Diceros bicornis minor: one gene and its partners. The protein of the gene in region 2 interacts with the protein of the main gene of each other region in a pairwise test. Links are inferred from orthologs where the notes say so. Each region holds a gene or a part of one and is shown on either strand. Other genes may lie near its edges.

Region 1 (10,087 bases), on a different chromosome or scaffold from region 2:
GGACAAAGACCAAATACATATTTCTTACTATTGTGGAATTGAAGAAAGATGGGAGTCTCTCATGTTAAGGCACTAAAATGGAGCTGGGGAGACATGAGAGGAGAGGAACAAATTCCACCTTCAGGATGAACTCTTGAACTCATTAGATGCCTGAAATGAATCTGCAAGTTTTCTCTAGGAAGATAAGATTATCGGGACAGAGACCTCATTCCTGTCAAAGGTCATCTTCTACATTCCTAAGTTTTAAAGGCTTGTTTCAACCAATCCTCATCCCATGACTACCTTGAGCCTGGAATTTTTTAAGACATTCCTTTCCCTTTTTTTTTCTTTGCTTTTGTTAGCCATGACTATAAAACCTTTCCTCTTCCTTCAAGGCTGGAACACAATTCAAGTGCTGCCTGAATCTGTGTTCCTGGGCTGCAGTCCTAACAAACCCTGAAAAAACTTCATTTTATTTAATCTATCAGAGTCTACCTCATAAGTGGTCAACATTATAAATCACAGTATCACAGATGTATTAAAGAGAATGGAGGTTTCCATGAGGAAGGAGAAGGGAAAGAGAGCTGGAACCACCAGAGTATGATATTTGACTATAAAACTGCAGGATTGGCATTTAAAAATTTTAAAAAGATCAAACATTGGGATATTTCATGAATAATATTCACTTTAGAAATTATATCTTTAATTTTTAAATAACAGCTTTATTGAGCTATAACTCCCATACCACAAAGTATACCTTTTATACCATAAATTGTATACCTTTTAAGGTATATAATTGAATGTTTTTAGTATATTCATAGAGTTGTGGAAACATCCCCACTATATAACTCATTTTTATATTTATTTAAAAATTATTCATTTTATACTTAATATCATAGGAAACTCAACAAGAACAGAAGAAAAAAATAATGCCACCCTAATACAAGGATGTTGATTTCCTCTGAGTCTGGAATAGATGGGCTTACCAAATAACCTGGGAGATTTTATTTTTATTTTATCTATTTATTTTTATTTTTTTTGGTGAGGAAGATTGGCCCTCAGCTAACATCTGTTGCCAATCTTCCTCTTTTTTCTTCGAGGTAGACTGGCCCTCAGCTAACATCTGTCCAATCTTCCTCTATTTTGTATGTGGGACGCTGCCACAACATGGCTTAATGAGTGATATGTAGGTCCATGCCTGGGATCTGAACCCATGAACCCTGGACCCCAAAGCAAGTGCACGAACTTAACCACTATGCCACTGCGCCAGCCCTTCAGGGAGATTTTAAACTGGTAAAGTTTCTTGTTTTTGATATGTCTTTTTTCACTGCATTTGTCTTTTGTATAGTTATAATCAAGATGTACATAAATTTTGTATCCTGCATTGACCACTTTATCATTAACATTTTCTATATGTCTAAATAATGTTCATACTCATAATTTATAATGGCTGTATAACCATCTACCAAGTGGATGTGTCATAATTTACTTAACCATCCCCTTATTTTAAAGATTTAGGTTATTTCTAATCTTCTAATTTCATGATTAAGACTCTGTATATTATCTTTACACATTTAGGTTTTTTCCAATTTTGGATTATTTCCTTATAATATATTTGCAGACGGCATCAGGACTTTGACGGCTGTTGAATCATACTGTTAAATTACTTTTCAAATCGCTTATCATTGTAAAATAACAAGTACAAATGAGAGAGCACTGATTTCACTGCAATCTGGTTAGGACTTAGTAATATCATTTAAGCATTTTAAATAATGCCATCAGTAAAAAAACACCTAAAATTTGCATTTATCAGGATGATGAACAGATATAGAATTTTAAAATTTAAGATAACAAAGTAAGATTTCCTTAAATTTCTCCATCTATGAGAGAAATTTCTAACCATGAGCTAAATAAATGACCTACTATATCCCAAGCTCCCAAACTAAAATTCTATTTAAAATGCTATTCTTTTTAGTAAGGAATTACTTGTCCAAAAGAGAAGAGAGAGAGAAAAAAAAAGGAATACACAATATAAACAAATACCAAGTTACTTTTGCCCTAAGGGTACTTCTTGGTTTCAGAAAATTGGAACATTTATTTGGACAGCCACTCTGGGTGACAGGGATATGAATCTAATCGCAGGTCCACAGAACATGTGAAGTCTAACAGGACATCCTCCTCTCAATAAACTGTGACCTTAAAGGGGTACACCCTCAAGATAAGAGCTGAATCCAGAGTAGCACAGCTCCTAGAAGGAATTACAGCTGGGTCTGAACTTCCTGGGTTGCCCAGGAAGCCTAAAGCCACAAGCTGTTAAATGCCTGCAAGACTCCAGCAGAAGGATATGTATATCCTTTCTGGAAGAGGGCATCTTCACCCTAGGCCTCAAATTATTCCCACAAATAAGTTTTCAAATGCAATAAGCAGTGCAGAAAGATAACTAGGAATTTAAGAAAACTAGACTCTATGAGGGAGAACTAGCACAAAAATAGACAACAGAAACAGACCGGCAGAGACTTCAGATACTGAAACTATCATACAGTCACTGTAAAACAATCATGGTTACTGGGTTTAAATCTATATTGAAGATACCTGCAAAGAATAAGAAACTACAAAGTGACATAAATTAAAAAAGAAATGGAACTTTTAAAAATAAAAAACACAATAATCAAAATTCAAAAGTCATTGGATGGATTTAATAGTCACAGATGAAAAGAAAATTAATGAAACAAAAGTAACACCTTACTAGGTTTGATATATTGTTAAATTTTTCTGTTCCATTTTATTCTATCTGAATTTCGAAATTCTCAGATAGTTGAGACCCAATAAATTGTTTCACACCCTCTATGCTATCTTTTCTTCTCCTGTTTTCCTTTTTTTTTTGAGGAAGATTACCCCTGCGCTAACATCTGTTGCCAATCTTCCTCTTTTTTTTCTTTTTTTCTCCCCAAAGCCCCAGTACATAGTTGTGTATCACAGTTGCAGAGTTGTAGCTCTTCTATATGGGACGCCGCCTTAGCATGGCTTGATCCGCTGGTGAGTAGGTCCGCACCCAGGATCCGAACCAGTGAACCCCAGGTCACGGAAGTGGAACGAGAGAACTTAATGGCTACACCACCGGGCCAGCCCCCTATGCTATCTTTTATTCAATATAATTAAATTAAAACTGATGATTACACCATTTAACCTAACAGTATCAGGGAAACAATTTTTTTTTTAAAAAGCTTTTATTACAAAACAAAGTTGAAGGCTGAAATACCTACCTCTGACAAATCCCTTAGGTGCTGGTGTCGCTAGAACAAACTAGATGCAGCTGACTTCATTAATGCCTCCCCTGTGGCTTTTTCACTCTTGGGCAGAAAGAAGAATCAGACCAGGAAAAAAGTAAGTTTGGTTTTTATTCTGGAGTAGGTATCCTGGGGTCTACAACACTTTTCATCGGTAAAGCTTTAAACTAGTGAACTGCCACCTATGAAGTACACACAGTCCAGGTTACTGTAAGTATAGAATTAATACAGAGTTTATTAGACTCAATATTATATTTGGAAGGACTCATTGATTTCACTGGTCACTAGTTTTCACCAGTCTGCAATGAGACAAGAAAAATAACATTTATGAAGTTTCTCATAAAGCTGATTTATTTGTTTAAAAGAGCTGACTTTTCAGATGATACGTCCTCTATTTTTATTTTGGGGGTCAAAATATAATTTTAAAATGAAATGATGCTGATAGTAAACAGCAGTTGTTTTTGTTTTCATTTTATAGCTTGGTGAAATTTAAAAACTGCAGTCCTGGGCCGGCCCCGTGGCTTAGCAGTTAAGTGCGCATGCTCCGCTACTGGCGGCCCGGGTTTGGATCCCGGGCGAGCACCAACGCACCCCTTCTCCGGCCATGCTGGGGCCGCGTCCCATATACAGCAACTAGAAGGATGTGCAGCTATGACATACAACTATCCACTGGGGCTTTGGGGGAAAAACAAATAAGTAAAATTATTAAAAACAAACCAAACAAAAAAAAACTGCAGTCCTGTTGGTTCCCAAAATTATTGTGAAAATCTGGGTTGATCCACCAAGTCCAAAAGAGTGGGAACACCACTGACGGCATCTACCTCTTCTTTGTTCATCCAACAAACATTTTCAGGGCCTACTATGTGCTAAGAGATGGGGCACAAATAAGAAAACGACTGCACTGTATGCCCTCCTGCTCACAGTGAGAAAGGGACACTTTTCAGCAACAGCTACAAGAAGTTGTGTAGTGCTAAGTCTTCCAGGAGCGGGTCTGAGGGAGAGCCTGTCTGTCTGGGGAATCAGTCTCTTACTGAAAGAAGCAATGAAGCTGACTGTCTTGAAAAATGTACAGCTATTTGCCTGCTGATGAGGGAAAAAGAGTGAAGGCCAGAGAAAACTGTTTCGTCCAGGGAATTTTAAATAGTTCTAGATGGCTGGAGTTGGGGTACCTGGTAAAGGCTAAAAGGTGGTAAGGATGAAGAGGGATGAGTAGGGCCAGATAGAAGAGTTTTTGTAGGCTTGCTAAGGCTTTTGATTTTTTTAATTGCGGTAAAAAAACACGTAACATAAAATTCACCATTTTAACCATTTTTAAGTATACAGTTCAGTAGAGTTAAGTATACTCATAGCATTATGAAATAAGGACTTGGACTTTACCCTGTAAGCAACTGAGATTAATGGAATGATTGAAAGATTTCAGGACAGGATTGGAGATCGAGGAAGATTGTTTTAGAAGGTGGCGGTGGGAGCGGGGCGGGGGTGGAGGCTAGAAGGGCTGGAAGGTATTACAGGCTTTAAAGGCTGTGGGGGCATTGAGAGAGGGAGTCGATTTCTGGCTCTGTCATGGGTTTTCTTGCCAGAGGGGAAGTCAGAGAAGGGAACTCACAGACCTCTGGCTGAGGACCAAGCTCGTATGCGCCAGCTTTCCGGGGGCTGCGCATTTGAAGCTAGCGGGCCACATCTAGGCCGCTATCTTGTTAAACCCCTACAATTAAAAAAAAAAACAAAAAAAAAACCTGTTCTTGGATTAGTTGCAAAAATTGAAAAATTTGGGGATTTTCACACAAAATAATTTCCAGCTTTTCTGGAAAAATCAAAACATCTGGGAACGCTGGACCCAGAGTCCCTCAGGGAAACAATCAGCTGAGTTCACTCCACCTTTTTTTTTTCTTTCAATGTTATAGCAGCGTATAAGAAATATAAAGAAAAATACACAAATAAGTGTAGCTTGATGGATGTTCACAAAGCGAACGTACCCCACTAACCAGCACCCATATCGACAACCAGAACGTTACTAGTATTTCCGAAGTGATACTTATTTAACCCTACTAACAATCTTATGAGGTAGATTATATTACTATCTCCATTTTTAATTACGGGGAAACTGAAGCATAGGTCATAAGGCTTAATATTGCTGAAACTACCATTTGAACCTGGATCCGCTGTTTGATTCCAAATCCCACGCTTCGAGAAACAACACGTTTGAAAGTGAGACGGCGAGTTCAGCTTTGAGCGACGTTGACTGGGCCTTTCCTTCCACAGAAACTTACTTCCGGTCGTCGGAGCCACGGAAAGCCCCGGCAACCAGAAGGCTGCACCTCAGGCCGCCAGAGCGCCCCTCTCCGGAGCGCACCCTCCCAGGGAGCGGCCCGCCACATGCTGCGCTGTCTCCCCACACGCGAGGGCGCTGGCGCAGTTCCAGTCGGAAGAGTGGCCCTTTCTGTTCTCGCGATATTTTTGAGGCCGGGAAAACGCAGGATCGAAGGTCACGTAGACGGCGCGCCCCGCCCCGTACAGCGTAAGTTCTCGCGCGAGTTGTACTTCCGCCCTTTTGGCTCTCTGAGCAGCGCCATGGCGGTCGGCAAGAACAAGCGCCTGACGAAAGGCGGCAAAAAGGGAGCCAAGAAGAAAGTGTAAGTGGCGACTGTTGTGTCCCCCGGCTTTTTGGGGTCCTGCTGGTGTCGGCGGGCGGGTTCTGGATCGCGGCGAGGGGCGGATGGCGAGGATGCCAGTTGGATTGCTCGGGCCGTGCCGGGTTGGTAAACGCCGAACCGCGGCCTGGCGGATCTGGGTGCTGCGTCGCGGCGGGCCGGCTCCCTTTCCCCTGGCCTTCTGGGTCTTGTGCGCTCCTCTTTTCAGCCACATTGTTCTCGTGACTCGAGCCCGGCATGTTCCATATTGCGTGCTCACGGGCCTCGTAAATTCCACGGGTAATCGCTGCCACTCCAGGAGCTGGAGTTGAGGAAGGCACGCTTCTTGTCCACCCAGGACCCTACACTCCTCCTCTGCTTGGGCCGGGTGGAACCTGGGAGATCCTAATAGGCTCGCGTGAGGCCCTGAAGAGCCTGGGTTACCAGTACGTGTCTTCATGTACCAGTAAAGTTCGAGAGATGTGCATGTTATTTGGAGGCATTGCTGTCTGTGTAGTCGAAGGACCGATGGGGGTGGGGAGTGTGTACGTTTGTGGCATAGTTTTCTCAAAGCATCCGGTCTGTACGGTGAAACAGACGTAGTGGGAAGAGCTAAATTTACAAATGCGCCCCTCACCTCACTGTGAGAGAAATAGTTTACTCTGGTGTCCACATGCCAGTTAGCCCTTTAAAATGATCAGAATGAGGAGAGTAAAAAAAATCAAGAACTACGTGATCTGCGATAAAACCTAAGCATTTTTTTAAATCCAGGGTTGATCCATTTTCTAAGAAAGATTGGTATGATGTGAAAGCACCAGCTATGTTCAATATAAGAAATATCGGGAAAACGTTAGTCACGAGAACTCAAGGAACCAGTGAGTATCTTATTCTTGGTTTGTATTTTTCTTAAATTGAGACGTGTGTATGTTGGTCTCCTGTTGGTCCTGGTGAGACTTGAAGGAAATGTCAGCTCTTGGTTGCAGCTTTGGACCTCGTGGTGCTTGTTTTTTGGTACAACACTTGTAGAAGCATTGTGGTGCTTTTAGAATCACTAAGAAAATGTGCATGGGTAGTTTTGTGCTTCTAATGAGCACTGTCAGTAAATTATTGGTGTCTAGATGGACTTGGTTAAAAAAGTTAAGGTGTTTATAATTTACCATTAATTTAATAATCTCAACTTTATGTATGAGCATTATTTTATTTGGCTTGACTTTGCTTTTGTGGTTCCTAATGTTAAGACAATTGATTCTTGTTTTATAGAAATCGCATCTGATGGCCTCAAGGGTCGTGTTTTTGAAGTGAGCCTTGCTGATCTGCAGAATGATGAAGTTGCCTTTAGAAAATTCAAGCTAATTACTGAGGATGTTCAGGGCAAAAACTGCCTAACTAACTTCCATGGCATGGATCTTACTCGTGACAAAATGTGCTCCATGGTCAAAAAGTGGCAGGTGAGAACAGAAGTTTTAGAGTGCATGGTCATGTGGCTGGCATGACCAAGAATGTCATGGTGTAATGACAGGAAGGAGCAAATCATGTGATTGAGGTTTAGGTTTCATTTTAAATCCTGGATGTTTTCTTGCTATTATTGAGTGCTGACTGTGGGATTGTCACTCCTGAACTTGAGCAACAGCTGAGCAAGCCATGTTCCTCCTATTCGTTTAAATTGAGTTCAAGATTTAATCCTGGGTTATCGTCAAAGTTAGTTTTCTTGCTGCATGTATTAGTGGCTGGTTGGGGTCTAGGTGCAGGTTTGCAGTTTTCGCCTATCTTGAGAATATCTTTAGACCTCGAAACTCAGTGAATTTTATAGTGAAAGGGTGGATTGGGCTAGTCTTGATTACCTCTGGTAATATAGCATAATAGGAGTGGGAGAGTCTCTGGTGTGAGGTTGAAATCTTGGCTTCATTTCCCAGTTGTGTTCTCTTTGGCAAGTAACTTAAAGCTTCCTAAGCCTTAGTTTCTTTATCTGTAAAATGTAGGTAAGAGTATCATCTCATGGAGTTATGAGGATGAAATAAAAGATCCATTTAAACATGCTTAGTATAGTGCTTGGCACAGAAAGATTTAGTGAACAGTGGTATTATTACAGGAAATAATTACATTGGTTCAGATGTGTCTGGCTAACCATCCAGTTTGGGGATATTTTGTATGTGGGAATGAATGATGACAAGATGTTTCGGTCCCAGATGATACATACTGATTATACCGTTACATTTATTTCTGACATTCCCCTAAGGTTTTATGGTTGCATTTCTGGAAATATTTAAGATCCTTTGGCTATCATTGTATTATATTCATTTTTTAAACTGAGGTATAAAATTTACAAAATGCAAAGAAGACAATTCAGTCACTACCTGAGATTGTTCTTTTCTTCTGGTGAGGAAGATTAGCCCTGAGCTAACATTTGCTGCCCATCTTCCTCTACTTGATATGTGGAATGCCGCCACAGCATGGCTTGAGTGGCGTGTAGGTCTGTGCCTGGGATCCGAACCTGCAAACCCTGGGCCGCCGAAGCTGAGTGCACGAACTTAACCACTATGCCACCTGGCCGGCCATAAGATTGTTTTTTAAGTTTAGGCAATAATATGACTAATTATGGATATTTTTATTCTGTTTTAACTGTGAAATTGAATATTTAATCCTAGGCATGGATTTAGTTTGGAACATAAAGACCATTTAAAAATATGTGCATTTTAGTATTGTTACAACAACATTTCACCTATTCAGAACACATTTTTTAAAACGGTGGAGCAGGGCCGGCCCCATGGCGTAGGGGTTAAGTTCAGTGCACTCCGCTTTGGCAGCCGGGGTTTGCAGGTTCAGATCCTGGCGGGGACCTACACCACTCGTCAGTTATGCTGTGGCAGCGACCCACAAAGAGGAAGATTGGAGGGGCCAGCCCAGTGGTGCAAGCGGTTAAGTGCGTGCGCTCCGCTGCAGCGGCCCGGGGTTCGCCGGTTTGGGTCCCGAGCGTGCACCAATGCCCTGCTTCGCAAGCCATGCTGTGGCAGTGTCCCATATAAAGTGGAGGAAGATGGGCATGGATGTTAGCCCAGGGCCAGTCTTCCTCAGCAAAAAGAGGAGGATTGGCAGATGTTAGCTCAGGGCTGATCTTCCTCATAAAAAAAAAGAAAAAAACAAAGAGGAAGATTGGCACAGATGTTAGCGCAGGGCTAATCTTCCTCAGCAAAAAAAAAAGAAGTGCAGATGTCTTTATTGTAGAGTCTCTCTTAGAACCTGTTTTCCTCTTATCTTGCGGAGTTGTACAGTTGATTAGAGGGGAGGGCAGGCTGTTAGAGGCTGGCATGTATATGTACAAGGTGTGGAGTGGATGCTGTTGATACAGTGATAGTGGGGATAGAGAAGTCACCTAGAGAGGAGGAGGGAAGACAGTTGAGAGGCTGTGGTATTTATTTAATTGGATATGAAGGATAGTAAGGATTTGGGGTAATGTAAGATTACAAGGAAGTTAATTCTGTAAATTAGACATGTAACTTATGCTTTATATTGTGTGATGAATACTTGATCTTCCAGCTTTTTTATATTAGAGTTTAAGGGATGAAATTGATAACATTAAAACCTGGTGTGTCTGACAGTGTCTTCTTTTCACTAGACCATGATTGAAGCTCATGTTGATGTCAAGACTACCGATGGTTATTTGCTTCGTCTGTTCTGTGTTGGTTTTACTAAAAAACGCAACAATCAGATTCGGAAGACCTCTTATGCTCAGCACCAGCAGGTCCGCCAAATCAGGAAGAAGATGATGGAAATCATGACCCGAGAGGTGCAGACAAATGACTTAAAAGAAGTGGTCAATAAATTGTAAGTATTGCTTTCCCTCACACAACACAACCTGGAATCTCTGACAGTCTCTCAGATGAGGGAAAGCACATGAGACAAGGTGGAGTCAGATCAGTGTTTAAATCCTGTCTGTGAAACCGCCTAGCTACATCCCTTGAAATAAAAGCATGTTAAATACTCAGTAACTGTTATTTGGTTTCTTTATCCTTTTTTTTGGATGAAGCTATCGCAAGGCATTTAGTGAGACTTGAAGCACAGGAAATGCTCTTGCCTTAATTGGAAAGTACAGTGAGTAGACAAAACCTTCCACAAACAATTATATATGGGAATAAGTGATGACAGAATGTTTCGGTCCCAGATGTCCAGTGATAAAACTGTTAACATTTTTCT
Region 2 (9,586 bases):
TGCGGGCTCTGTGTGCCCCACCACACGGAAGGGGTCTTCCAGCCTCCACTTCTTCTCCTACCCCACCTGCTCACTCTTCTCTAGTGACTCCTAGTCTTCCTCCTAGATTTCACCTTTGCAAACACTGTTCCTTCTCCCAGATGCCCTTCCCCACACACACACCCTGGCACCAGCGGCCAACACCTACCCACCTCAGCTCTCAGAGAAGCCTCCAGGAGACCTAACTCAAGTAGTGCCCCACACCTTCCCAGCACTCATCAGTTTATAAATGCATGTATTTGTGTGGTATTGGCTTCACCTCTGTCTCCACCATGAGGGCAGTGGCTGGATTATGTGCCCACTGGTCCTGGGGCCTGGACACGGGCTTTCAGTCAATAAGCATTAAATGAATGGTGCTCGTTAAACAATGAGAGACCATTTCCCCTATCAAAATGGCCAAACTTTTTTTCAGCCATACTCAGTGCTGACAACAGTGGGAGAGGATGGGGAGGGAGTGCTCATCGTGCTCCCTTCTGGTGATAGCGTGTGGCAAGCTGATGAGGAAGGGACCAACCCCATCCTGCACTTCCAGGAGTGACTGCCCAAGCTGGGCCTCGAAGGATGGGTTAAAATTTGTCAGGTGAAGAACAATTTTGGTATCTAAGTACCCCCAATTTTGTAGTTAGTCAATGGGAAGACTGGTTTGCTCTGCGGAAATCCACTTTCGGGCCAACTCTAACACACACATGGCCAGAAACGCAGGGCTGGACACGTCACTCCCCCTTCCCTCGCTCACAGAGTTCATCATTTCCTTTGGGGCCCTGCCCTCAGCCGTCCCCTTCCCCCTCAAGCAGGGAGCCTAAGACCAGCAGATGGGCACAAGTGCAGGACAGCATCACGGTGGTTCAATGGCTGCCAGCGCAGGTCACCCTATCTCCCATCCTCCATCAAGAGAACAACAGCGAGTCCATCCACTGAGAGCTCACTGTGTGCCAGGCACAACAGGCTTCCCTGGGATTAGTTCACGGCATCCTCCCACATCCTTACTATGATCATCCCTACTGTGAAGATGAGAAGACTGAAGCACAGAGAGGTTGAGTAGCTTGCTCAAAGTCACACAGCCAGTGAGTGGCAGGGTTGACACTCACAATCCAGCTGAAGATCTCTACTTTAACCCACACCATCCTCCTCCGAGTCAACTGTGCCTCTTTCCAAAGTATGTACCACTTAATTTTCCTATATAGTTATAACTGGATTCTGAATATTTCTCCAAGGTCTTTGCTAAACATCAATTGTTTTAAAAACAGCTTTACGAGGTATAATTGACATGCAATAAACTGCACACGTTTAAAGTACAACTTGCTATGTTTCAACATACACTTACACCTGTGAGACCATCACTGCACTCGAGATAGCGAACACACTCATCACCCAGTGTCCTCGTGCCCCTCGAAATCCCTTCCTCCCGCTCCTGTCAGCCCTGCCTCCCACAGGCAACCCCTGATCGCCTTCTGTCACTATTAATTAGTTTGCATTTTGTAAAATTTTATATAAATTACTGGCATCTTTCCCTCAGCATAATTATTTTGCATACAGAACATGTACCAAGATAGACCATATTCTGAACCATAAAACAAAATAAAAATGAAAAGACTAAAATCATGCAAAGTATGTTTTCTAACCACAATGCAATTAAATATTAGAAATCAATAACAAAAAGATATCTGGAGGGCCTCCAAATATTTAGAAACTAACACACTTATAAATTACCCATGGGTCAAAGAAGAAATCAAAAGGCAAATGAGGAAGTTTTCTGTTTACTTTAATAAACATGTATATAGCAGTTACCTGGGACAGTTCCAAACACAGAATGAGCTCAGTTAAGCCTCATAACCATATGAGGAAGACATTTTCATACCCATTTTACAGATGCTGAAGCAGAGGCACAGAGAGAAGAAGTGACTTGCCTGGTCACACAGGTAGGCAGTGGCAGAGCTGGGATTTGAATCCAGGCCCTGGATCCAGAGTCTGGGCCTTGTATCCTAGCTTACTGGGAGGACACTGAAAGATTTCAAATGCAGGAGGAAAACTGTCAGATTCCCCTGACAGCAAGATCACTTTGGGACAAGTTCAACAAATATTTAGGAGCTAAATCTGTAGGACTTAGAGATATATTAGAAATACAGAGTTGAGGAGGCAGGGTAGAAAAGGAAGAGAGTTGGGGGTAGGAGAGCAGGGTTTGGAAGGCTCGATGATGTGGATGAGCAGGTGTGGTTCATGCCAAGAGGAAGAGATGCCCACATCCTGAGAGCCTGTTCATATCAAGGGATCCACTCGGGCCAAGTGGGAAGGGAAATGGAGGTGGGAAGAGGTCCCTGAGGAAATGTGTGAGCTGAGGGTCCACTAGGACATTAAATAGGAGAAAAAGAGAGAGAATGCTGTTCCAGGCCGAAGGAACAGCATTTGCACAGCCCTGTGGCGGTAGATCACGGTGTGAGGTGTACAAAGAAGAGTGACAGGGAGCACGGTGGGACCCGAGGATGAACGGGTAGGTAGGGGCACCCTGCAGGGCCTGGCAGGCCTGGTTAAGAAGCTCTTTTTCTCCTAGGAGTGATGGGGTGTTAGCAAGTGTTTGAGGAGTGTGTGGAGGAGGGGACTGACAGGGTCAGATCTGTGTTCTCACAGCGCCCCTTGGCAACAGGCGGGAGGCAGACCAGAGCAGACTCAGGAAGCAGTCAGCTGGCTATGGAGGTCTTCCAGGTGAGCTGATGGTTGTGTGGGCAGGGGTGAAGGCCCGGGGGGGGGGGGGGGGGATATGAGGATGGAGAGAAGTGGATGGATTCATAAAGTATTTAGGAAGCAGAAGTGGCAGGGCTCACGTCAGATTCCCTACGGGGTGTTTGGGGTTCTAGAAGGTCGTGGGATAGTCACCTGGCTAGTGAGCCCTAGAAGGCCAGAGAGGTGGGGGAAGTGAGCTCAGCAACCAGGTCTGGAGCTAGAAGAGTCCTGGCTGGGGCTTTTCTGTGCATCATCCGCACATAGGTACTCTCCCAGGAGCTCCAGCAACAGGCCAGGGAGAGGGGGCGAGTCTGGAGGAGAGAGAGGAGCAGCCAGCGCCCGGAGGGAAACCACAGCATGCTGATGGTGGAACCAAGGCAGAGGTGGAACCAAGGCAGAGGTCTCAAGGAGGGCAGTGGTGGTTAGTGTGGAATGTTACCCAGAGGTCACGGGGGACCAAAAACGTCCTTGTACTTAGTAACTGAGGCGGGCAGGGCAGGGGAGAGCGGGAGGACAAGATTTGGAATAAGGGAGGGATATTGTAGGCGGAGCTTCCTGGAAAACAAAGGTTCCAGGAGTAGCCTTGGGGCAAGTTCTCTGGAGGAGGGGGGAGGTGAAGGCCTTAGAAACCGAGAATTTCACAGCTGGGGCTTTGAATGGCTCATCTACAAGAAATCTTAAACCTCCTGGGCAATGGCGTAAGTGGGATAGAAAGGAAAAAGTGGGTCAGGCCTCCAAGTCTAGAAAAGAGGAGGGTGGCTGGTGGGCTACGGGTGGAGGCGCCCGCAGCGGTGGAGACCTTAAACAGCTGATGGTGGCCACAAGGAACCCACAGCACTACTGCCCCTCCCCCTCCTCCGCCCGCCCCCCAACCCCCCCAACCCCTCCCAACCCCCGCGCCGAGGCGTCCGGACACAGCTGGAGTCAGAAACACATTTTACGTGCCCCAACAAATGCATAACAACCCTCACCTACCCTTACCATGTGGCTTCTAGTTCCCATTCAATTTTTCCCATTTTAACGGTAGTCAGGACGCCCTACGTTATTTCACACACTCCCAGTGGGTCTCAGGCCCCAGTTTGAAAACCCCGTTCCTGGAAAAGCTGGGTTTCCCCAGGGACAAGGAAGTGGAGGCAGCGTTCAGTCAAGTCTGTTTACATCGTAAGGAGCTTCCAGATTGTTCCCGAAGGCTCGGTGTGTAGCGGGGGGGAGGGGGAGGAGGAGGAGGAGGAGGAGGACCAATGGTGGGAGGAGCTAGAGACAAAGGAGCCAGAGGAGGGCGGAGGGTTTCCGAGGGAAAGGCCGTGGGCGGGGCAGGGGTGCTCTGCGCGCTGGGCCTTAGTTTCTCCAAACGGGAAACACCCTGGATCTTGAGCTGGGCGATGACTAAGGACCCCTGTCCCTCTGAGACTTTTACAGCTTGGTCTGGCATTGTTCAAAACACTTAGAATTCCCATTTAGAAGGTGGCTTTGGGGGCAAGTTAATCACCCAACCCATGAATTAGATACTTCATATACAGATCTCATATTACGTAAAATAAGTAAAAAAGATGGGCTTTACAAAATCATGACGGGTGTAGCTAGGTGAACACGCATTTGTTCACCAAATCTCCGAACTCCAGACTAAGGGACCCTCAAAACGTGAAGGATGTAGTTTTATGGCAAACCGAAGGTAGATAGAAATCCCCAAGAGACTGAACAGACTGCGCACGGGTTTGGAGAATTTGCGATTGTGTAAGTGTCCATTTCAGCATTTCCTCCTGTGTAGGCGTAAGGACGGCACCAGCCCCGCAATTTGGGCAGTGGCCAGTGTTTGGGGCGGGGGGCGGACCCTCAGAAGTACCAGCTGGCGCTCCTCGCTCCCTGTCCCACTCGGCCTCAGAACCAGCTGCCTGGAGCCCCACGAGGTCCCGGCGGCTCCCCTTGTCCAAACGTGACTTCCACTTCCGTTGGGGGGGGGGGGGCTCCCATCTCATAAAGGCAGAAACCAAGGATCGGCCTTGCCTCCCCAAGCGCATGCCCTGGTCACCTCTCACAGCCCATCATGGACGGGCACCGCTGCACCCGCTAACCAGGCCAAGCGTCCCGGGCCTCCGCACATCGAGGCTCTCGCAGGGGCCTGTTGCCCGAATTCCAGGCCTCGGAACCCATAATCGCTGCCTAGGGCGAACAGATGCGGACCCGTACCCCTAAACCCGGCTCTGGACCCCCCAATCGCTACCCCGGGCCCTCAACTCCTAAACGTAGCCCTGAGCCTCTCTAATCACTGCCCTAGACGTATTAATGCGGCACCTGACCCCTCACCTCTGCCTCGAGCCCCTAAACAGGGCCACAAAGCCCTAAACCTGGCCCCGGGGCCCTGGTCGCTGGCACTGGACCCCTGACACTGCGCTGGCGGGCCCTCGTGCTGGGGGACCCGAAGCTTTCACAGCACCAGGACACTCTTTAAAAATTAAAAGTTGACTTGCGCGGATTTCATAAAAACACGAGCAGGGGCACTCAGCCCCTGACCACACTCCCCGGGCCTGCACGGCGCCGACGGCGAGGGACCGCTAGGGGTGCCGTTCAGCACGTCCGGGAGCGCGCAGGGCTGGGAGCGCGGGCTCAGGATTGAGCTGTCGGCACGGGGACAGGGCTGGTCCCCGAAAGCGCGAGACCTTCCCGAGAATTCCGGACCGCGCAGGCGCACTGAGGCGGGCGCGGCGGCGCGCGGCGGCCGTTGGGGGAGGGGCGCTCAGGCCGTTGCTGCGCGGGTCCGCGCGCGCCCGGGAGAGGGGCGGGCGGCGGCCAGGGCGCAGGCGCAGGCGCGCGGCCGCGGCGGCGGTTGGGGAGGGTGCTTCCGGAAGGTTCGGGAGGCTTCTGGAAAAGGCGCCGCGCGCTGGGCGGGCCCGCCTCTATATAAGGGAGGCGCGGGGGCGGCGCGCCAGTTGCTCTTGCGTCCTGGTGCTGCGTTGTCGCGGAACCCGTACGGTCCTTTAGCCGAGGTGAGGGGGTGGTTGGGGGGTCTCCGGGGAGGAAATGGGGTTCAGGGGACGGGCAGGCGGGCGCAGTCTGCGGGTGGCGGGGTTCGCTCCAGCCCTGGGAGCCCCCCGGCCCGCGGGCGTGGGGGCGGCCGTGGTTTCCTTTCCGAGGCCTCAGGCCTGCGGCGGCCCCGACCCTCCCGCCTCGGGAGCGGGCGCGGGTCGCCCGGACGCGCTGCAGGAGCGAAGGGGCTGCCGGGGGCGGCGCCTCCCGCGGCGGAGGGCCGTCCTCCCCGCCCGGGAAGGCGGCTCGCCCAGGCCGCCTCCGGCCGGCCCGCGGACCGGGGGCTTCGCGGTGGGGCCGGGACCCCCGGCTGCGGCCCAGTCGCCCGGCCTCGGGCCGCCTCGAGGCGCGCGCACGCTCCTGTGATCGCAGCGCGAAATGAGGTCATCCTTTGTCGGCCGGCCTCCTGCTTTCAGTTTTCCTCAATTGCGCTCTAAAAATACCTGAAGGCGGGTGAGGCTTGCGCCGCTGTCGCCGTCCTGCGGCGTGTAACGTGGCACGGTGTCCTTTCCAGATGCCCGAGGAAACCCAGACCCAAGACCAGCCGATGGAGGAGGAGGAGGTGGAGACGTTCGCCTTTCAGGCGGAAATTGCCCAGTTGATGTCATTGATCATCAACACTTTCTACTCGAATAAAGAGATATTTTTGAGGGAGCTTATTTCAAATTCATCAGATGTAAGTCTCATTACCGTAGAACTGGGTTTTGAGGTTTCGGTATTAACTTCACCATTTAGGGGCTCGGTGTTTAATGATCTGTTTTGTAATAGGCTTTGGACAAAATCAGGTATGAAAGCTTGACGGATCCCAGTAAACTAGACTCGGGGAAAGAGCTGCACATAAATCTCATTCCGAACAAGCAAGATCGAACCCTCACCATTGTGGATACCGGAATCGGAATGACCAAGGCCGATTTGATCAATAACCTTGGTACTATCGCCAAGTCTGGGACCAAAGCGTTCATGGAAGCTTTGCAGGCTGGTGCAGACATCTCTATGATTGGCCAGTTTGGTGTTGGGTTTTATTCTGCCTATTTGGTTGCTGAGAAGGTGACCGTGATCACCAAACATAACGATGATGAGCAGTATGCCTGGGAGTCTTCTGCGGGAGGATCGTTCACAGTCAGGACTGATACAGGTAGGCACCTGATAAAGCATTTCCTGGGTGAGCCAGTCACGTGGAGGGTGGGGTGCTGTAGGCGTGGGACCCCTGAGGATGCAGAGAAATTTGTGAAAACTTGTATCTGCTTGGTATAATAGGAGGCAAGCTGGTGAGCATGTGGTGGTGTAGTAGCGTGAGCTTGTGGTTCTGTATGGTGGGCAAAGCAGTTAACTAGTCTGGGACTCTTCCTATCTATAGTAACGGTAAACCACGTCTCCTGGACTTGTTCACAAATTGTTAGGTATGGTGTCCAGAGCTGAATTGATTGTATGTACTCTTTGTTTCCTTGGTTTGGCTGTTAAGATTGGAATTGAGTCAATTTCTCTATCTCCTTTTCAGGCGAACCAATGGGTCGTGGCACAAAGGTTATCCTGCATCTGAAAGAAGACCAAACAGAGTACTTAGAGGAAAGAAGAATAAAGGAGATTGTGAAGAAGCATTCTCAGTTTATTGGCTACCCCATTACACTGTTTGTGAGTTTGTGTGTATCCTGTATGTAGAAAACTATAAGTGATTTAACTGAAATCCTTACTCCTTAGATTTGCTGATAAGGAAAAGACCCAAACGTGTGTTTACTGGATTAGTCTGAATTCTTTTTAGTCTCACAAGGTACCAGGTACCCAGAGGTGTTAAGTTAGATCCATCAGATACTAATGAGGAGTTTCTTGGCTTCTTAATGTTTCCTAGCTTGGCTCACTAATTTAGGCTTTGGTATAAGCGTGCCCACTCCATTTCGCTTTTTTTAGTTCTGGAATGCAGAGGTGATGTGATTTTGTGTTTTTTGAAGGTGGAGAAGGAACGAGACAAAGAAGTCAGTGATGATGAGGCTGAAGAAAAGGAAGACAAAGAGGAGGAAAAAGAAAAAGAAGAAAAGGAATCAGAAGACAAGCCTGAAATAGAAGATGTTGGCTCTGATGAAGAAGAAGAAGAAAAGAAAGATGGTGACAAGAAGAAGAAGAAGAAGATCAAGGAGAAGTACATTGATCAGGAAGAGCTGAACAAAACAAAACCTATTTGGACCAGAAATCCTGATGATATTACTAACGAAGAGTATGGAGAATTCTATAAGAGCCTGACCAATGACTGGGAAGATCACTTGGCAGTGAAGGTGAGTCACTGCTGAGTGCTTCAAAGCTAGTCTACCTCTGCAAGTTGTTTCTCTGAAATCGTTAAGGGCTGTTGCTGGCAGCTTTTCCATCCCAGCCCCTATTCCCTCCCCGAAAGTGCTTTATGTTGTGTAATTAAGGTGTGTGTGTGTCAGGTTAAGCAGCTTTGAGTGAAAGTTGCTTGCACTGTGTGCTGATTTAGTGTGTATTTTATTACAGCATTTTTCAGTTGAAGGACAATTGGAATTCAGAGCCCTTCTTTTTGTCCCAAGACGTGCTCCTTTTGACCTGTTTGAAAACAGAAAGAAAAAGAACAACATTAAGTTGTATGTTCGCAGAGTCTTCATCATGGACAACTGTGAGGAGCTAATCCCTGAATATCTGAGTGAGTATGGTTGGGTATAAGGAATGATCACTGTCACTGGTTAAAGAATTTTATTCTGTCAACTCCAGATCTTCAGTATAATAAGCATGTGGGACGAAAAGTGGCTTATCTTTGGTTTTGGGGGTGTATTTCTTTGTGAATTTTTGTCCTTAGAATGATTGAGTGCATTTGGTCCTTATTTTTTCAGATTTCATTAGAGGTGTGGTGGACTCGGAGGATCTTCCTCTAAATATTTCCCGTGAGATGTTGCAACAAAGCAAGATTTTGAAAGTTATCAGAAAGAATTTGGTCAAAAAATGCTTAGAACTCTTCACTGAACTGGCAGAAGATAAAGAGAACTACAAAAAGTTTTACGAGCAGTTCTCTAAAAATATTAAGGTTGGTATAAACACATTCGATCATTAGTAGCTGTAGTCAGATAGGCTTCTCAAATTTCAAATGATTTTTAACGCAGAAAATGTCTTCCTAAAATTTATTTTTCAGCTTGGAATTCATGAAGACTCTCAAAACCGGAAAAAGCTTTCAGAGCTGTTGAGGTATTACACATCTGCTTCTGGTGATGAGATGGTTTCTCTCAAGGACTACTGCACAAGAATGAAGGAAAACCAGAAACACATCTATTACATCACAGGTAACGGACAATAAATGGTACAATCACATCTTGGTTTTTTATAACCTCGTAGGAACTTTGGGGGTGTATTCTACCTATATAAGTTAGGTATTGATGAAGGCAAGATAGTTAACATGAGCTAGCCCATCTCTATGGTTAGATCTGACTAGACAGGAAAAGATAAAAGGAAATGAAACCATTTCTGTCCAAGGTCTAAAAGTAATTTTCCACTTTCTCAGGTGAGACCAAGGACCAGGTAGCTAACTCGGCCTTCGTGGAACGTCTTCGGAAGCACGGCTTAGAGGTGATCTATATGATCGAGCCTATTGATGAGTACTGCGTGCAACAGCTGAAGGAGTTTGAGGGCAAGACTTTAGTGTCAGTCACCAAAGAGGGCTTGGAACTTCCAGAAGATGAAGAAGAGAAAAAGAAACAGGAAGAGAAAAAAACAAAGTTTGAAAACCTCTGCAAAATCATGAAGGACATCTTGGAGAAAAAAGTAGAAAAGGTGTGTAAATAACAATGTTTTCACCTACATTTCCTGA
Region 3 (9,800 bases), on a different chromosome or scaffold from region 2:
GCCTCACGCTGTCCGACCTGCTGGCAGGTGCCGCCTATGCCGCCAACATCCTGCTGTCGGGGCCACTCACACTGAAGCTGTCCCCCGCCCTCTGGTTCGCGCGTGAAGGCGGCGTCTTTATGACGCTCGCCGCGTCGGTGCTGAGCCTCCTGGCCATCGCGCTGGAGCGCCTCCTCACCATGGCGCGCCGGGGACCCGCGCCCGCCGCCCGTCGGAGGCGCATGCTGGCGCTGGTGGTCGCCTCCTGGGGCGTGTCGCTGCTCCTGGGGCTGCTGCCCTCGCTGGGCTGGAATTGTCTGGGCCACCTGGACTCCTGCTCCACGGTCCTGCCGCTCTATGCCAAGCCCTACGTGCTCTTCTGCGTGCTTGTCTTCGTCGGCATCCTGGCCACCATCTGTGCGCTCTACGCGCGCATCTACTGTCAGGTGCACGCCAACGCGCGGCGCCTGCGGGCGCGCCCGGGGGCTGGCGGGGGCGCCGGGAGCCGGGCGCGCCGCACCCCGCGCTCGCTCGCGCTCTTGCGCACGCTCAGCATAGTGCTCTTGGCTTTCATGGCCTGTTGGGGCCCCCTCTTCTCGCTCCTCTTGGCGGACGTGGCGTGCCCGGCGCGCGCCTGCCCCGTGCTCCTGCAGGCCGACCCCTTCCTGGGCCTGGCCATGGCCAACTCGCTTCTGAACCCCATCATCTACACGCTCACCAACCGGGACCTGCGCCACGCGCTCTTGCGCCTCCTCTGCTGTGGTCGCCGCCCCTGCGGTCGAGGCCCGGGCACCTCCCGGCCGTCGGGGAGCGCCGCTGAGGTTTCGGGCGGCCTGCACCGCTGGCTGCCCCCCGGCCTGGGCGGCAGCTCCAGCCGCTCTGAGCGTTCGTCGCCCCAGCGGGACGGGCTGGACACCAGCGGCTCCACCGGCGGCCCCGGCGCGCTCACTACCGCCCAGACCCTGGTGCCTGCACCGGCCGCAGACTGACGCCCTCCGGCCCGCCGCTGCCTTCCTGAGAAATTATTTTTGCAGACTTTTTCTCTTTAAATAAAGGAATTTGTAGGAAAAGCAGCAGAAGATGGTGGAGGCAGAAGAGACGCGGGGCAATGTATTTTATTGATGCTAAACGCCACGGCAGTGATCACAACAGACAAAATCGCTGCCCTTCTGAAAGTGACCCTCTGGTGGGGACACAGGCAATAATGGAGTGACGAAATAACGGAGATAATTCTAGTGACAATACAGTGACGCGATGGCGGTCAGGGGATGCCTCTCTGAAGAGGGGGTAACATGTGATGTGAGCTGAGACGTCATTGTCCTGGGAATACTCGAAGGAAGAGCATTTCAGGGTGAGGGAACAGCAGATGCAAAGGCCCTGAGGCTGGAATGTGCCTGTGTGTTCTATGAAAAGCAAGGATCCCGATGTGCCTGGAGCAGCAATGGAGGGGGGAGAATGGGAGGAAACAAAGGCAGAGAAATGATGGAGCAGGTGGCCCAGGGGTCCACGGGAGGCCTTTGCTTTTGCTCTGAGTGAGATGGGAGCCATAGAGGGTTCTAGGCAGAGAAGGGACTTGACCTAGTTCAGATGTTCACAGATCTCTGTGAAGGGGGAAGGTGGAAGCTACGAGAACAAGGCGAAGGTGACTGCACTGGCCCAGGGGAGCGATGACGGGGCCCCAGACCATGTGGGTTAGGGGTAGATTTTGGAGGCAGCAACACAATTACTGAGGAATTGAGTGTGGAAATGATGGAAAGAAAGAAGCCAATCACAGCTTTCCAGTTTAGGGGACCACCAGACAGGGCACCCTAAAATTTGACTCTGGGAGACTCAACCAATTCCTATCCGAAACAAGACTTCTTTGAGTGTGGTGTCAGATCCTTCATACAAAATAAAAATATAATAAAATAAAAACAATGACGGCTTTTGTGCCTGGCTAGTCTCCCCACTGTGGCAGGCCCAGAACACACCTTTTTCCTACCCTTACTGCAACCCTGCAATGTGGGTTCCTGTACCCCCATTTGACAGAAGAGGAAACTTCAAGCCTTGTCCCAGTGTCTGAGCCAGGCTCCCAGGTCCCAGGAGGTGCAGGCCTGCTGTCTGGCTCCTCCAGAGGGGTCTGGCAAGGCCCCCTCCCTTGGGGGTCTGCATTCTGGGCCGGGGGCGATACCAGGGCCCCTTTTATGCCCAAAAAAGGCTCCAGGCGCGCTGGCCGCGGCCCCTGGCTGTCCCCAGGCGCATTCCTGACCCCTGAGTGGCAGGGCCGGCCCGGGGGAGGGGCGGGGGGCTCCGGGCTCAGACTGCCGCACGCCACCTGCCGGGAGACAGCGGAACTGCAGGCAGCCGCAAAGACGGGGGCGGGGGGGTATTTTGGGGACCACCGACTCAGCCTGGGGGCCTGAGTCTCCACGGGCCACGCGTGGCAAACCGACCTACTTCCCGGAACACAAACACACTGAAGCCTGGGGTCACCGTCCCAGGACACCCCCAGGACTGGACCCAGTTCCCCACCCGGCCTGGCGCCCCAACCTCCAGGCTCTTCCCGGGGAACCTGAGACACCCCAGCCCGCTATTCGGTTGTTTGATGGTGTGCTGGTAGGAGCTTTATTCACTTGTTCATATTCTAGAAAAGCCAGAAAGCACTAGTTCCCCTTCTTGGAGTCCATCACTGTGGGAATTCCCGGGAATCTTTCAGAGCTGTGCTGTGGATAAAGGAGGTGAAATGTAAACACATCTTTTTACAGAACGTCAGCGCTGCTCTGCATCTTGCTTTGTTCACTTAATAATGTATCTTGGAAATTGCTGCACACCCGCAGATTTTTTTGTGTGTGTGAGGAGATCAGCCCTGTGCTAACATCTGCCAATCCTGCTCTTTTTTTTTCTGCTGAGGAAGACTGGCCCTGGGCTAACATCTGTGTCCGTCTTCCTCCACTTTATATGGGACGCCGCAACAGCATGGCTTGCCAAGTAGTGCGTGGGTGCGCGCTTGGATCCGAACCCGGGAACCCCTGGCACCGCAGCGGGGCCCCCCGAGCTTAACACCTGCGCCACCAGGCCGGCCCCACATCCACAGATTTTGTAGTGTCCTGCTGTCCTAGTCTGCTCCGGCTGCCCTAACAGCATAGCCTGGGTGGCTTAAACGAGACATTTATTTCTCACAGTTCTGGAGGCTAGAAGTCCAAGATGAGGGTGCCAGCTTGGTTGGGTGCTGGTGAGGACTCTTTTCCTGGCCTGCACATGGCTACCTTCTTCCTGTGTCCTCGAGTGGTACAGAGAAAGCAAGAAGCTCTCTGATGTCTCTCTCTCTCTCTCTCTCTCTTTTTTTGCTGAGGAAGATTCTCCCTGAGCTAACATCCTTGCCAATCTTCCTCTATTTTTTATGTGGGTCACCACCACAGCATGGCTGATGAGTGGTCTAGGTCCGTGCCTGGGATCCGAACCTCAAACCCAGGCTGCCCAAGCAGAGTGCCCTGAATTTAACCACTGGGCCAGCCCCTGATGTCTCTTCTTATAAGGGCACTAATCCCATCATGGGGGTCCCACCCTCATGACCTCATCTAACCCTAATTAGCCCCCTATCTCCAAATACCATCACATTGGGGGTTAGGGCTTCAACATAAAATTTTTTTTTGGAGGGGGAGCACAATTCAGTCTGTAGCACTTCTTTTTTACATTTTTAAAAATCAAGGTAAATTCGTAGAGCAAATGTCTTGCTCCTTTTCACTGGCTACATAGTATTTCACAGCATGGATGTGCCGCCACTTAGCACACCAGGGCCCTAGGGAGGGACATGTGGGTTGAGTGCAATCTTTTGCCTGTAAGCACAGGGTGGAAATAAACATCTGTGTACATACATCCTCCTGCACGTGTGCGAGTGTACCTTGGATAAATCTCTACAAGTGTCACCGCTGGGTCACAGGACCTGTAGATTTGATGTTGAGAGATATGAGGGGTTGCCTTCTGGCGTGTTCGAGCAGGATGCGGGTTTCCGCACAGCGCGACTACGCCATGTCGACCCCTCTGGAGCAGTCCAGAACTGCAGCCTCACGCAAGAGAAATCAGGGGCCAGGTGGGGAACCCCGGCCTCCCATTTAATCCCAGACACTGAGCAGGGACCTTGAATCCTCCAAATTCACCCGGAAGGTGGACAGAATCCTTTCTTACACCAACCTCTGTTCAGTCTAGCGTTTCTTCTATTATTCACTTAGTTTTCATATAGATGGACTCTTTTAAAAATAATCTTACATTTATTGAAAAGTTAACTTTCTAGCATAAACAGCATAAATGGCAAATCAGTATCCCTTGTCATGAAAAATAACAATCGTTCATATTATTGGGCGGTAGCATGGGCATTTAGTTCTCCCGATAACCTGGCGGGTAGCTGCTCGTATTGTTACCAATTTATTTATTTATTTATTTTTGTGAGGAAGATCAGCCCTGAGCTAACATCCATGCTAATCCTCCTCTTTTTGCTGAGGAAGACGGGCTCTGAGCTAACATCTATTGCCAATCCTCCTCCTTTTTTTTTTCCCCCCCAAAGCCCCAGTAGATAGTTGTATGTCATAGTTGCACATCCTTCTAGTTGCTGTATGTGGGACGCGGCCTCAGCATGGCCGGAGAAGCGGTGCCACGGTGCGCGACCGGGATCCGAACCAGGGCCGCCAGTAGAGGAGCGGGCGCACTCAACCGCTAAGCGACGGGCCGGCCCTATTGTTACCAATTTATAGGTTAAGCTACAGGCCCACCGGCAGGGAGCTAGAGATTGCCAGAGCCGGGGTTCGAACCTGCGCAGACGAGCTCCACGCGCCTCTAGATTGGAGGTACCTAAAAAATAAAGACAAGGAAAACCGAACTCAGTAGATAATTCTAGCTGGATCCTGCGGCCGCCGGACCGTGAGGCCTGTGTTAAAGGAGGAGTGAGCCGTGGAGAGCAGCCCTGCGCTGAGACCACGAAATAGGGCGGATGGAAGGGACGGTGCCAGGGGGCGCCTGGCCATGCGGCCCCACCCGACGCCCCGCTCCTCGCCCCTGGGCGCCGGGCACCTGCGGGAAGGGCGGGGAATCGCGGCTCCTTCCCCGCCGCGCCCTCTCCGCCCTCTCCCCGCCTCCTTCCCGGGCGTCCCGAGGCCGACCCCCACCCGACGGCCGCGACCCCGCAGGCCTTGCGGCCCCGGAGCCGAGGTCCCCCGACGGCAGAGGCGCCCGGGGGCCCGGACAGCGACGATTAGGCGGGAGCCGCCCCCGGCCGGGCCGCGGCCCCTCGGGCTTCCCGGAAGCGCGGCGCGCGCGTGACACCACGGTGCATCCCCCCCGCGGCGCGAGCCACCCGGGCTGCGCGGGGGCCGAGGTGAGCGCGGCGGCGGCGGGGAGGGGTGTCCGCCGACCCCGGGTGCGGACTGGGGCGCACGGGCCTCGAACCCGAGGCCGCGATTCCCGGCGGCTCGGACCACGCGGCTGGGTGCGCCGAGGGCTGCGGTCCCCCGCCCCGCCGCGCCGCCAGGACGGGCGCTGTGGTGGCCGCGCCGGGGCTGCGCAGCTGGCGACATCCGGCGGGGGCGGGGGGGGGACGGCCCCTCTGTCGTCCCCGGGGCCGCGGGGACTTTTATTGTGACACGGCCGGCGCCGGGCTCTGCTTAGTCATGGTGACCTGCGCGCGCTCCGCGCCTCCCCCCGGCGCAGCGATGGAGGCGCCCGGGCCTGGGCGACGGAGGCGGAGCCCGAGCGCGGCCATGGCGGGGTGAGTGAGGCGGCCTGCGCCCGGGCTGCGGGCACGGCGGGCCGCGAGCGCCCCTGCGGCCGTGCCGGGGGCCGGGGGTCGGGCCGCCGCGGGCCCGGTGGCCTCGGGGTGCCCGCGGCCCCGCGGAGGGCCAGGAGGGCGCGGCCCGAGTCCTGTCCTTTTGTTGGACGGCGCGACCGGCGGGGTGGCGCGGGGGCGACGCCAGCCGGGCGGGAGGCCCGGGGAGCGCCGCTCCGATGGAGGCCCCGGGACCCCGGGGCGTTGGGGGCTTGGCGTGCGCCCTGGGGTTGGCAGTGGAGAGGCCGCGGCGGGGTCACTTCCTCCCTGCTCCAGGCCTCGGTGGAGGCTCCGACGGGGCATGCGCAGTCCCCCACTTACCGCTTCGTGGTGGTTGGGGGGGAGTGCCCAGCGCACAGCGGGCACCGTTGATCGATGGGCCAAAGACCAAGAGGCAGGCCCGGGGCCTCCGCCGTGGCCTGGTGGAGGAGGGTGCCCTGGCAGGCGCGGGAGAGCGGGCAGCCCGCCAGCCACACGCTCACTGACCCCTGCGCGGTGCCAGGCCCCAGGCCGGACGTGCGCGAGGCACATGCGAGGGTGGGCACAACGCTGACCCCCACTCCCTGCCCTCCGATGCGCGGGGGCGAGCGCCAGAGGGCCGGGCCAGCCCTCACCAAGTGAGCAGAGGAGCTCCTTTCGGTTCCCGACGAGCGCGGGGATGGAAATAAAACAGGCAGGAGGTGACTCTGAGCTGAGCCCCGGAAGGATGAGATGCAGAACCTGGGGAGCCTCTGCAGATCCCCCACTTCTCCCTGCGGGGCCTTTCAAAGCACAACTCACGCCCTGGCCCTCCAGACGCCGCGGGTTTCATGGAAACCCTCCCTTCAAGAGTCATTGTCTCTCCTTACATCCCTTCCTCATTCTGCCTCTGAGCCTTTGCACTTGCTGTTCCCTCTGCCTGGAACACTAACTCCCACCCACACCCCCTTCATATGTTCATCCTTGTTGTCTCGGCTCCAACAGAGGCCTGGACGACCTGACTTTAAGTAACTGCCTCCAGGTCACCCTGTCATTTTATTTATGGCCCTTTGCTCCCCAAGTGTCTGTTCCAGGGGGGCACAGTTTATGTCTGTCTTGCTCACTGCTGTGTCGCGGGTGCCTAGAACAGTGCCTGGCACACAGTAGACACTCAATAAATGTTGGCGAGGTGGATGAAGGATGAGCTGGACATGCTCTAGGAAGGGAAGGGCCACCAGATAGCAGGAAGAGAGTGAGCAAAGGGAAGAGGTGGAGAAGGGCTAACTGCAGGGGGCTTTGCGGGTCATCGAAGAGTTCGGTTTTTACTCTTCATGCCATAGGGAGTTGTGGGGGGATTCTGAGCAGGGGAAGGACATCATCTGACCTGTGTTAATTTTAAGAGGGACCCTTGGGCTGGCGACCCTTGGGACAGTTAGCGAGCCCACGTGGATGCTGCTGCACCGCGGCTTGGCAAGGAATACTGGTCTAGGGGTCGCTTTACCTTAAAAAGGAGGCCTGGCGCCAGGCCCCGCCCCCAGCCCTGTGCTCTCCCTCCTCCAGGCCCCTGAGTGCCAGTGGTGGTGTTGTCCCTTGTGGCCTGGAACCCCATGCAGCAGGAAGCCAGGCCTAGCGGGGCTGGGGCCCGCACCCGATTCCTGCCCCTGCGGTCACAGCGCCCCGAGGGGGCCGGGGACGCGGTGATGTACGCCTCCACGGAGTGCAAGGCCGAGGTGACGCCCTCGCAGCACGGCAACCGCACCTTCAGCTACACGCTGGAGGACCACACCAAGCAGGCCTTCGGCATCATGAACGAGCTGCGGCTCAGCCAGCAGCTGTGCGACGTGACGCTGCAGGTCAAGTACGGGGACGTGCCGGCCGCCCAGTTCATGGCCCACAAGGTGGTGCTGGCCTCCTCCAGCCCCGTCTTCAAGGCCATGTTCACCAACGGGCTGCGGGAGCAGGGCATGGAGGTGGTCTCCATCGAGGGCATCCACCCCAGGGTCATGGAGCGCCTCATCGAGTTCGCCTACACCGCGTCCATCTCCATGGGCGAGAAGTGCGTGCTGCACGTCATGAACGGCGCCGTCATGTACCAGATCGACAGCGTGGTGCGCGCCTGCAGCGACTTCCTCGTGCAGCAGCTGGACCCCAGCAACGCCATCGGCATCGCCAACTTCGCCGAGCAGATCGGCTGTGCCGAGCTGCACCAGCGCGCCCGCGAGTACATCTACATGCACTTTGGGGAGGTGAGCCCAGAGGGGTACCCGAGGGCGCTTGGGGGGCGGACTCGGAAGGACCCAGGACGCACAGGCGGGCCTCACCCTCTCCGCTGGAGATGAGAAGGGCCGAGGCGGGGAGCTGGAGAAAGATGGGGTTCTGAGCTCCTGGTCTACACATCTGGGGGGACGCCGGGACACGGCTGGGGACAGGGAGGCCTTCATGGGCTCCCTGGTTCCCCTGGGGTCAAGGGTGGGGACAGGGCGCAGTGAACATGACAGCAGCTCAACCTGGGGTTCACCGAGCAGGGCCTCACATTTCCGGCAGTCAGCAAATAGTTATTGAACCCCCCCCCCCCCCCCCCCCCCCCCCCGGGGACAAGCTGCCAACTGCCAGTGTGACCCTTCGCCGTGTTGTCTCTGGTCCCTGCAGTCTTGTCCTTCCGCACTGCTTGGTTTCATTTTCGTTTAGAAGTGGAGGAAGTTGTGAACAAAGATTATTTATCCGGGCAAATAAGCAGTGCCCTTCGAGCCCTGGCTCTGGGCCAGCCCCCGTGCTGAGTGATTTCCATCCTTGCGATCCCTGGATCTTCCCAACTATCCTAGGGGAAGTATGCTCTGGGGTGCCTTCCTGGAAGATTTCAAAGACCTCCTCCAGGGGCGGGGACCAGCTGGGGTGGCCGCTGCCCTGGTCCCCGTTTCTCTCCTTCCTTCTAGAGCATATGTGGGGTTGACGAGATGCCCCAGGGGGCTCTGCTGTTAGTCCTGGGGCCTAGTGCTCCCAGGAAAGTGGTCCCAGAGCGGGGCTCTCCCACTGGCCTGCCCAGCGTTTGTTTCAAGGGAATGCAGGTACCAGACGGGTGGTGACCTGCTGATGTGGGGTGACTGAAATTATGTGTATAAACCAGTGCCTGACAAATATTTCTCCAGGGCCCTAATACCCTGGGAGTGGCCCTGCTATGAGACAGCTATTAATATCATCTCCCTTTGACAGAGGAGGACAGCAAGGCACAGAGTGTTTCAGATATCTGCCCAAGGTCACACAGTTAGAAAGTAGTGGGTCAGAATGACAACTCAGGGGGTGGGCCCCACGGCCTGGTGGTTAAAGTCCGTGCACTCCACTTCGGCAGCCCAGGTTCTCGGGTTCAGATCCTGGGCGTGGACCTACACCACTCATCAAGCCATGCTGTGGTGGTGAGCCACATACAAAATAGAGGAAGATGGGCACAGATGTTAGCTCAGGGCCAATCTTCCTCAAGCAAAAAGAGGATGATTGGCAATGGATGTTAGCTCAGGGCCAATCTTCCTCAGCAAAAAAACAAAAAAAAATACCTCAGGCTGCTTTCTTCAGAGCCTGCTTTTTTCCCCTAGAATATTCTATTGCTATTACTTTTTCCTTTTGAGTCAATCTGCTCTTTGAAAGGGTAATTTCATAAAAAAAAAAAAGGAACATTCTTAGAGTTCAAATATAAAATGATACCAAGAGGTACACTGTGTCTTTGCCCATCTACCTGAGTACATATGTACTACAAGCGTGGTGTGTAGTATTAACTCATTTAAATCTTCACAACCTAGGAGGTTCAGACTATTCAAATGCCCATTTTACAGATGAGGAAACTGAGGTCGTCAGGGGCAGGGGGAGGGATTGAGGGGCAGCCCGTCACACTGAGGTCCCCCGCAGGTGGCCAAGCAAGAGGAGTTCTTCAACCTGTCGCACTGCCAGCTGGTGACGCTCATCAGCCGGGACGACCTGAACGTGCGCTGTGAGAGCGAGGTCTTCCACGCCTGCATCAACTGGGTCAAGTACGACTGCGAGCAGCGGCGCTTCTACGTGCAGGCGCTGCTGCGGGCCG

Evidence for each region.
Region 1: the proteins of HSP90AA1 (region 2) and RPS3A interact in binary tests that used the Homo sapiens proteins (3 or more experiments, as listed by UniProt). The link is inferred for Diceros bicornis minor from reciprocal best matches to the Homo sapiens genes HSP90AA1 and RPS3A.
Region 3: the proteins of HSP90AA1 (region 2) and KEAP1 interact in a two-hybrid assay, tested with the Homo sapiens proteins (2 studies listed by BioGRID). The link is inferred for Diceros bicornis minor from reciprocal best matches to the Homo sapiens genes HSP90AA1 and KEAP1.

Annotation. Positions count from the first base shown.
Region 1 is NC_080750.1:39,539,484-39,549,570, forward strand, and holds the start of RPS3A (small ribosomal subunit protein eS1), read left to right. Parts: upstream 1-5,792; 5' UTR 5,793-5,837; coding exon 5,838-5,899; intron 5,900-6,667; coding exon 6,668-6,771; intron 6,772-7,156; coding exon 7,157-7,344; intron 7,345-8,051; exon of another isoform or gene 8,052-8,124; intron 8,125-9,509; coding exon 9,510-9,718; intron 9,719-10,024; exon of another isoform or gene 10,025-10,087.
Region 2 is NC_080763.1:46,925,320-46,934,905, reverse strand, and holds the start of HSP90AA1 (heat shock protein HSP 90-alpha), read left to right. Parts: upstream 1-5,647; 5' UTR 5,648-5,741; intron 5,742-6,295; coding exon 6,296-6,457; intron 6,458-6,549; coding exon 6,550-6,916; intron 6,917-7,279; coding exon 7,280-7,413; intron 7,414-7,727; coding exon 7,728-8,048; intron 8,049-8,265; coding exon 8,266-8,431; intron 8,432-8,618; coding exon 8,619-8,809; intron 8,810-8,914; coding exon 8,915-9,062; intron 9,063-9,280; coding exon 9,281-9,549; intron 9,550-9,586. UniProt on the Homo sapiens protein: Molecular chaperone that promotes the maturation, structural maintenance and proper regulation of specific target proteins involved for instance in cell cycle control and signal transduction.
Region 3 is NC_080769.1:8,738,361-8,748,160, forward strand, and holds the start of KEAP1 (kelch-like ECH-associated protein 1), read left to right. Parts: upstream 1-5,169; 5' UTR 5,170-5,326; intron 5,327-5,429; exon of another isoform or gene 5,430-5,716; intron 5,717-5,823; exon of another isoform or gene 5,824-7,291; 5' UTR 7,292-7,338; coding exon 7,339-7,977; intron 7,978-9,628; coding exon 9,629-9,800. Other genes in the region: S1PR5 (sphingosine 1-phosphate receptor 5), read left to right, coding at 1-968. UniProt on the Homo sapiens protein: Substrate-specific adapter of a BCR (BTB-CUL3-RBX1) E3 ubiquitin ligase complex that regulates the response to oxidative stress by targeting NFE2L2/NRF2 for ubiquitination.